Linked DNA regions of Coturnix japonica. The protein of the gene in region 2 purifies or fractionates together with the protein of the main gene of each other region. This does not show direct contact. Links are inferred from orthologs where the notes say so. Each region holds a gene or a part of one and is shown on either strand. Other genes may lie near its edges.

Region 1 (3,933 bases), on a different chromosome or scaffold from region 2:
CTACCACTGCATGTTACAAATGTTCTCTAGCATACAAATATATGTTTTCTTTATTATTCTTCAGTCAAATGTTTAAAACCAACCATCTACTTGAAAAATTGTGGGCACAGAGGAAAATGTCTAACATCGTCATCTTTATAAGAAAGATTTCAGACTTCCTATGGATGCATAATATCAATATATTATACATCAATATTTAAACTGCTCAACTATTGCAGTGTTAAAATTGTGGAAAAAATACAGCTACCAAGTAAAAGTCAAAGTCAATTTAACATAATGCTTCAGCATATAGAAAGGACCTACAGGTGACAATCGCTGGAGGTCAGTAGGTTCAACACGCGTGTTGCCAATTGTGAAATGTAAAGGGCATACTGAAAACAGAATGAATTTTTGCACCCATGAGTTTTTGTAGTACGTCTTAGTGGTATAAGCTATTAACACAGAAATTAAACATGAATCTTCAGACGTCTGACTGATGTTCAGTAGCAACATAAAATCAGATTAGAATTCATAGTAAAATAGGCAGTTATTGACTCTGAACTAAAGCTATTTTGGTTCAGATTAGGTAGAATTGGGGTAGAGATTAAGAGGAATAGGCTGTGGAAAAATTCCAATTTGTGAATGAAAACAGAGGAGTGCTACTAAATAGTATTCTGTGGTCCTGATCCCAGTTCTAATGAGTTGGCATTCACTGTGTCTGTTCAATTACACCTGGCTGCTGGAATCTTTATAAGGGAGTGAGATTGATCTACCCCTGTGCCTGTGGAGGCCGACTTGTTTTCTGAGTACATGAAAAATGTAAAACTCAAACATAACTCCATTAGTTCTGGCACAGGATCTGCATCCATATGAAGCTTCGCATGGCTGAGTTGGTGTGGATAAACAAACATAAGGTCTTTGCACCTTTTATTTTTGGAAGTTTATTAGATGTTTGTCACAGCAGGAGGCCTGCTAGAGCAGGTGGCAAGGAGAGAAATTATAGGAGACAAGGGAGAGAAGCCTTGCTGTTCCTTTCTTTTTTTAAGTAGAAATTAGGCTTATTGAAACATTAATAGTATGTAACGAAAGGATATTGGGAGAAACTTGCCATAGTGCAACTTTCTAAAGCGTTGCTTAAAGGAAAGATGTTTATTCAGGTAGAATAGAAGTTTGTCCTCTGTTATGTAGGTTAACGTGAAGATACGCTACAATTTTGTCAGACAGGATCACTCTGGTAGAACATAGAGGGGTGAGATGCTGATCTGCCCTTGCTCTTCTAAATGTTTTGGTGAATCAGGCAAGACTGTTGGATGCTGACCTGGGATGGCAGAGAAACCTTTAGCCAGAAGAAAGAGATCATAGACAGAGACTTTAATAAATAAACAAATAGAAGCCAGGCTGACTCATTACACTGCCATGTGCTTTTATTCTTTATGATCACTATTATTTATTTGACACACAAACCTTGAATACTTGCAGTTTACACAGTAATGAATGGGAATTTTTGTTAATGTGAATCCCTCCATACCAGGAAGCGGCGTCACAACTCTGAGATCTATCTGTTATTAGCTTGATGGGTGCATTTCAGATAAAATGCTTCACGTGTCTTATATCTGGGGTATGTTAAGTACTGGATAGTTTTGAGAGCAGGTAGGTTGTAAGAATGAAGAAATATGTAAATACTGAGAAGTCCTTGGGTTTGGTAGCTGGCATAGGAAAAAGTGCAAATTAGATTATTGTTAAATTTGAAATACATTCTTCTTTCTTTTTGTATCTGTTACAAGCTTCAAAGAGTTGTGGAAATAACTGTTTTAAATAGAAATTAAAACTTTTAAAATGTTTGCAGGTGCAGATTCTGGACAGATATCTGAAGAAACGTGGAATTTTCTTCAGTCAATCTATGGTGGAGGCCCAGAGATTATACACAGGCCACCTGTTCCTACAGTAGAACCTGATATCTTGCAAACAGAAGAGAAGATTGAGTTAGAAACTCATTGTCTGTAGCTACTGAGGAAGGGATGAATTTGTAAGGAATCCAGCTTCCTTACAAAATGCCCAAAATACATTCCTAAAAGTTTTATTCTCTTGTCTATTGGAGGCACATCTCACTGGGCATTACATTAACTACAGAAGTGTAAGTTGAAATATACATTGCAATTTGTTTAAATGAAGACTGTTTCTCTGTTTTGGAAAGTGTGTAGTTTATTCTTCTTGGAGTGTTTGGTGAGTGGAAAACACTGTCATTTCTGGACTTTTCAGTGTAAGTCAAAATCCTGTTATATCCTTAGACTTGAAAAATGGGAGCAAAGTTCTAGAGATGTATGTAACCTTCCTGATTGGGCTTCTGATACCCACAAATGTCTGCCTTCTTAATTGTAAAGTCTTGACAATGTTAGGTATAAGGAGAGTATATTCTAAATGGATTGCAATCAATGATAAAGAAAAAGGATTTTTATGTCTTAAATGCTCAGGAAAAAAATTCTCACTTATTTTGCACTGTAAGTATATATAAAATGAGTGACATCCAAATACTTAACATATTTGAATGGATCAAACATTAACGTAGATTGAATATTGTTTTAGTCAGCGAATGTCATAAGTTATTACCTGCTCAATTTTGCATCATTAGGCTTCTGTAACTCTATAAACCTGCTAGCGTTAATAATATTTGTGAGAAAAAAGATGTAGTCTTCTCTAGGGTAATGTTTGAGAGCATGAAATGTGAAATGTAAAATGACTATGGACATGAGTGATATAAATTTTGGAAGTTAAATTGTCTGGTCTCTTGAATTATATTCACAGATAGTTGCTTTTGAAGAATTTTATTGTATTGTTCATTAGCATGATGACCTATAATGTGAAAAGCTGGATAAAATGTATATATTGCAAATTTCACTAAATGAATCAGATCGGAACGCAGAATGGCACTTAGTCTTTTCTTTGCCTGATAGTTACCAAATAAGCAGCGGTACTCAAGGCTACTTGTTTGGTTGTTTGTTTTGAAAAAACAAAAGAGAGAAAAGGGGCTGGATGAGGGCAACCAACCTTAATGTGGGGAGGGGTTGGGAGCCTTCTCAAATTTTTTCCATTTATTACATCACTGTGAAAACCTTGGAGTAATGCTGTGATGTTGTCCCCAGACCCATATATTTCCTGGCTACTTTACATTGAGGCAATGACGTGGTCAGTTGCATGGCTTGAGTGAGAAATACTGATGTAACGCTCTTCTGGCTGGTTTTACATCTAGTATAAAATGAAACTTGTGTTGTACTTCAGAAAGTACTTAGAGCCATTGTGGTTAGAAAGCCGCCTATAAGAGTCCTAGTGTTCTGTAACCTAAAGTACTTGACCATGTTGCTGATGTGTTGTATAATAAGTTCTGTCTGAAATCCCATCTGTAAATCCCAGTGTTTTCCTCAGCCTACCTGAGAAGTAGAGCTAAAGCCAGAACACAGTAGGGTGAATGAGAGGGGTAGATGAACAGCAGTACAAAGCCAATGATTATATCTCTAGTATGTAAGTAAAACATTCCCAGTTTTAAACTTCATTAAACTTTATCACAGATATCAGTTGGCCAGCCCATGAAATGTCTGGATAAGTAGTAAGACTGCCCCAGTAAAATCTGCAAAGGAAGAAAAGCATCAGATACAAGGCACAGGAGGTCATTATTTTGCTCTACTCGGTGTTGTGCTTGATTGTGAGGTTTCATATGTACAGCTCCCAGTTTTGGATTTTACTTGATAATAAATGCAAGCTCTGGGTAAAGATGATCTCAAAGAAGAGCTGCAAGACTCAGTACTGAAAAATAGGTTCTCTTGCTTAAAAGAATGCTGGAGGGAGATTCAAGGAAGAAAACAGTTCTATTAGATGAGTAGGAGTATCTGCCTCAGTTTCAGTAATGGTGACTTGGGTTTAGATAGAAATATTTCTAGATTTCTAATAGTCTGGCAGTTC
Region 2 (5,387 bases):
TGACACCCTGCAAGCTAGGGCCCCCAGAAGGAGGCACTGTGGGGTTGGCAGAGCCCCCCAGCACTATGGGCAGTGCAAGAATGCAAACTGGACCCTCCTCCCAGCCTCTACTCTGATGTTTGGTATTATTTCTGTTTGAAAAGAAAGCCTGAAACTACTCAAAAGCACAAGTAAAAGCAGGCAAACCGCAGAAGTAACCCAGATTTTGGGTGATGACGTTTATGTGGGGCAAAATCCTGCCTTTATGTTGAAGTTGCTGTTCATTGCTGCACAGTTTGGGTCGTGGCTGAAGGCAGCCTGGACTGAGGGCGCAGCCCTGCACACCCCGTGCAGGTGAGCAGATGGCCAAAGCAAGCAGAGAGCTGCCAAACTGAGGAAGAAAGTTCAGCCCTGCTGCCTTCCACCATGGCCCGCTAAGCACGCAAGGCACAAACTGCTGTGAATATAACATTAAAAATGCCAAAATACTGAGATAGAAGCTGGGTTTGCTGAGTTCTGCATCCCACACCATGGTGGTGATGGAGGCTCTGGAGAAGGATGGAGGGCCATTACCAGGATGTGCAGGATGAACAGACAGCTCAAGTGTGTTCTGCATGTGCTATGAGACACAAATCTGAGCTCCGACCCTCCCAGACTCAGTGTGTTTTCTCCTAAGCTCCCAAAGCTGCCTCTCCTCCTTTCAAGACAGCACTTCTTGCAAGGATAAGCATGAAATGTCTATTGGAACAAGGAACCTGATACTTCCTGAAAGTTGTGATTTAGTGTCAGAGCATTTCCTGATGTTAGCCTTACAGGAAGCAAACTTGCCAGTTACTACCATAGACTTACCTTGATCATTTGGCAGAGTTTTCTGACCAGGTCTTCAAATAGAGCATTGGACAGTGAGCTGAGCACAACATGTAGTTCCCACACTCATCACTTTTCCCTCCTGCTCTTCTCCCCCAACATTACATCTGATCCACCTGCATTTTCCTAGCAGTTTTCTGCTGTGTTCTCCCCATGAGGTGCATGCACCGTGCAGGAACCTCAGTGCACAGGAGCCTGCAGGTGTTAAGCCTGTATTCAAGGATGGAACAGATCCTCACCTGGTGCAAAGCCAGTGTGATGTTACAGCCTTCCACCAGCTGGCTGCAGCCATACGTTGCATGGATTGCGTGGATCCCTTTAACTCAATGGTGGGCACTGAAAAGTCCTGGTAATTAACTAAGGTCATTAGTGCTCCCCTGCACTCTTGGCTGCTTCACAAGCATTCCAAAGCCACCCGTTACAGCCCCTGAGCCAGAAGCACGAGCTGCTGCAACTGCAACTTCATCGTGTTTCCTGATTCCAGCACCTCGCTCACCCCTCGGTGTTAAACCACAAAGCTCCCCCTGCGTGCAGGCGGCTCCTGTATTGATAGCGCTGGCTGAGAGGCTGCGGGCAGCCCCCGCTCACATACGGTGCCACCTGCGGGACGGCAGCACGAGGAGATGGGACCCTTCCGTGCACAGCAATGCGCAGACATGGCGTTCCAGCCAGAACGTTATCTCTCGTGACACTGAAGTTTGTAGGATCCCTCAGCCCTTATTTAGGATATTTGTTCGCTTTGGTGGCAGGGAGCAGCGCAGAAGTCACATAACCCCGTGTCGGGGTGTCGGGGGGCAGCGGGACCGCAGCGTGGGGAGGGAGACGGACGCCTCCGTTCTCAGGCTGTAGCGTGGAGCTGGAACACGCGTGGGGCGGCTGCCGGGCCGGGGGGCACACGGGGGGGTGCGAGGTGCGCGCAAGGCGCGGCGCCGGCTGCCATTGGCCGTGTCGGGCTGATGTCACGGCGGGTGTTGCTATAAGCTCGGCGGCGCCGAACGGGCTGGGGACAGTCGGGCGGGTGAGACGCTGCGGGACGAGTTGGGTCGGGTGAGGAGCGGGGCGATCTGGAGCGGAGCGCAGCTCGTACAGCCCCGCACGGCGGGAGCCACCGCTCACAGCCCGCACCTGCTGTTCCCTATGCGCGGAGCCCGGCGAAACGCCACGACATCGGAACGCTGAGAGCAGCCCCCGCAGCCTGCCCGGGGATCCGGCTGGGGGGACATGGGGGTGGAGGGCACCGAGCTGCCCGGCGGCAACGTCAGTGCCAACCAGAGCGCAGCAGACCCCACGGTGTCGCGGGACGTGTGGGTGGTGGGCATGGGGATCCTCATGTCGCTCATCGTGCTGGTCATCGTCTTCGGCAACGTGCTGGTGATCACCGCCATCGCCCGCTTCCAGCGCCTGCAGACGGTCACCAACTACTTCATCACCTCGCTGGCGTGTGCAGACCTGGTGATGGGACTGGGTGTGGTGCCCTTCGGTGCCTGCCACATCATCATGGAGATGTGGAAGTTTGGGAACTTTTGGTGTGAGTTCTGGACCTCTCTGGATGTGCTTTGTGTCACCGCCAGCATCGAGACCCTGTGTGTCATCGCTGTGGATCGATACTTTGCCATCACCTCCCCATTCAAGTACCAGAGCCTGCTGACCAAGAGCAAGGCACGTGTGGTCATCCTGATGGTGTGGGCCATCTCGGCCCTCACCTCCTTCCTGCCCATCCAGATGCACTGGTACCGGGCAGACCGTGATGAGGCCATCCTCTGCTATGAGAAGGACACGTGCTGTGACTTCTTCACCAACCAAGCCTATGCCATTGCCTCCTCCATCATCTCTTTCTACCTACCGCTTGTGGTCATGGTATTTGTGTACGCCAGGGTCTTCCAGGTGGCCAAGAAGCAACTGCAGAAGATAGACCGGAGTGAGGGCAGGTTTCACATCCAGAACAAGGAACAGGACCAGAACGGGAAAACCGGGCACCGCCGTTCCTCCAAGTTCTTCCTGAAGGAGCACAAAGCTTTGAAGACCTTGGGCATCATCATGGGCACCTTCACGCTGTGCTGGCTGCCCTTCTTCATCGTCAACATCGTGCACGTCATCCAGGACGACATCATCCCCAAGTACGTGTACATTCTCTTGAACTGGCTGGGCTATGTCAACTCTGCCTTCAATCCCCTGATCTACTGCCGGAGCCCAGACTTCAGGTACGCCTTCCAGGAGCTCCTGTGCCTCCGCAGGTCTGCTCTGAAGATGTACGCTAATGGCTACTCAAACAGCAACGGCAGGAGTGACTACAACGAGGAGGAGAACGGCTACCCCCTGGCACCAGAGAAAGCCTGCGAGCTGCTCTGCGAAGAGGGCTCCTTCCCTCACCCTGAGGACTTTTTGCACTGCAAAGGTACTGTGCCTAGTGGGTAGCTCTGAGATGCGATGGGCTCTGGCGTGGCACACTGCTCCTAACGATGAGCCTTCCTCTAAGGAAAAACAAAAACCCAGTAATAATAACGATCCTCACCTAAAGCACACCTAAACCTCAATGGCTGCAAGGAACCTAAAACTCAGCAAACCTCCTGCAAACAGGTGGAAGGCTGCCCTGGGTGGCTTGGGTGGGCTGGCTGCTTGCAGAGGTTATGAATTTAAGTGCACGACCTTAGGTCCCTTGAGCCGGGGGGGTGAGGAGTGCTGGGGGATGGTATTTTAAGGCTGTGCAGAAAGCTCGTCCCAGGAAGAACTTCCTGGCTGTGGCCGATGTTGAACTACCTCATGAGCTCGGTGCTGGCGGCTGCTGCGGGAGCGCTGTGCTCCCCGAGCTGTGCAGCACCTGCCCCCATATCCCCCCCTTTAGGGATGCTTAGAGCTCTGTCGGCTGCGTCTGATCCTGTTGCTGTCAGTGGGAAAGTTTAAACAACGCCCGGAAAAACAGAACAAAACAAAACAAAAAAAAAACAAACCCACGACAACCACGAATGCGTCTTTTGCCAAGTGCTATAGGACTGTCCGCTGAAATAAGGATAGAAATAAACGGAGTCTTTGCCCAGAATGTGATACAGTGGGTGTGGGACTCAGGAACGTGATAATGGGAAGCTGGGCGATACGCTGCTGCAGTCGCAGCCCGTCCTTTTATCGAGACCGCAGCCAAAGCTCTTGTAGCCGCCCAGTTTAAATTCGGCTCTCAGCCCGTAGAGGTGGGCAGGGAAGGTTTTATTTTCTGTCGCTGAGGGCTGACAGTCCGGCAGCGCAGCCCTGGCCGCGGGACGGCTCTGGGTTGGTCTGTCGGTTTGTTTGTGAAGGGTTTTTTCCCCTTGCAGCGGGCTTTGCATTGCGTTCCCGCAGCACTTGGCGGCGGGCGCATGGGCTGTCACGGTGGCAGACGCGAGCGGGCAGGTGGGGACGGACGGACGGACGGACGGACGGACAGGGTGGCTGTGCTGCTCGGCGCTGCTCGGAGACCCCGCTGGAAGAAAGCAGCGATCGCGGGGCTGAAATGGAGCTCCCCCCCTTCGCTTTCTTCCTCAGCTGCAGTTTGAAAGAGGGGAGCCGAGGAGGATGTGAAAGTGCGGTGTCTATAGAAGCACGTGGGAAAGATGGGGGAGGGACGGCCCCGCGCCCCGTGGGAGCTCTTCTCCCCAGGGTTGGCACCGTTAATAGGAGGCTCGCAAAGACCTGGGCTGTTCTGCCCACTGTTCCTGCAGCCCCCGAGGGTGCGCCCAGGGAACGCTGGATGGGATCGGCTCATAAGGTGCTGCAAGGTGCAGGGTGGCTGCAAACTCATTCTTGAGCCCTTGGCGTTCCTCATGGTAAAGCCCCACCCGGTTTTGTGGGGAAGGGTTTAGAAATCCTCGTGCTCCCTTCTGCCTTCCCCCAGGTATCCCAATCCGGTTTGGGAGGTCAGGCAGCCCCTTAGCCCTTTCCTAACCCTATGTTGGATGCTGGCTCTGCTCTGCTTGCAGCCTCTCCAGCTTGGTGCATGCTACAGAGTGGCAGGGAATGTGTGCAGCAGAGCTCTGTGTCACTGCCAGCTTTGCTGCCCGTGCCCACCTGCACCTTCCTTGGAGCTGTCAGCAGTGTCCGAGCACTCCCGAAGTCATCAGGTTCAGCTTTTACATTACAGTGTGAACAAACGAGAGGGGTGTGATGGCGCAGGGTGGTGTGTGGCTGTGGGGAGCAGGAGGCCAGGTTGGAAAAACATTTGCTCCTCAGATAAACATTAACAGGCTGACCAGGCTGGAGAGACCTGGTGTGGGGTCAGGTGCTCTCAGTTTCCTACTGTAAAGGGCTGAAAGGCAGGGGGCCCTGCGCTGCGGGGCTGGTGTCGGTGCCCCATGTAGGTTAGAGATGCACCATGTTGGAGATGCATTTCAGCTCAGTATAGGTCATGATTATTACAAAGCAAGAAGTGAAAATTAGCCTCTTGGTTGAAGCGATTGATTTCTTCTGTGCCATTAATCCTGCGTAGGCTGGTGTTAGCAGGAGAGCAAGGTGAGGGGGTATCCCATGGTGATAGCTCCTGGTGGAGAAATCCAGCATCCGCATCTCAGTCGCTG

Evidence for each region.
Region 1: the proteins of ADRB2 (region 2) and USP33 purify together in Homo sapiens (affinity purification with western blotting; 3 studies listed by BioGRID and IntAct, with this or other methods). This does not show direct contact. The link is inferred for Coturnix japonica from reciprocal best matches to the Homo sapiens genes ADRB2 and USP33.

The regions. Positions count from the first base shown.
Region 1 is NC_029523.1:16,746,441-16,750,373, forward strand, and holds the end of USP33 (ubiquitin carboxyl-terminal hydrolase 33), read left to right. Parts: intron 1-1,825; coding exon 1,826-1,983; 3' UTR 1,984-2,898; downstream 2,899-3,933. UniProt on the Homo sapiens protein: Deubiquitinating enzyme involved in various processes such as centrosome duplication, cellular migration and beta-2 adrenergic receptor/ADRB2 recycling.
Region 2 is NC_029528.1:10,593,735-10,599,121, reverse strand, and holds the start of ADRB2 (beta-2 adrenergic receptor), read left to right. Parts: upstream 1-1,845; 5' UTR 1,846-2,067; coding exon 2,068-3,241; intron 3,242-5,387. UniProt on the Homo sapiens protein: Beta-adrenergic receptors mediate the catecholamine-induced activation of adenylate cyclase through the action of G proteins. The beta-2-adrenergic receptor binds epinephrine with an approximately 30-fold greater affinity than it does norepinephrine.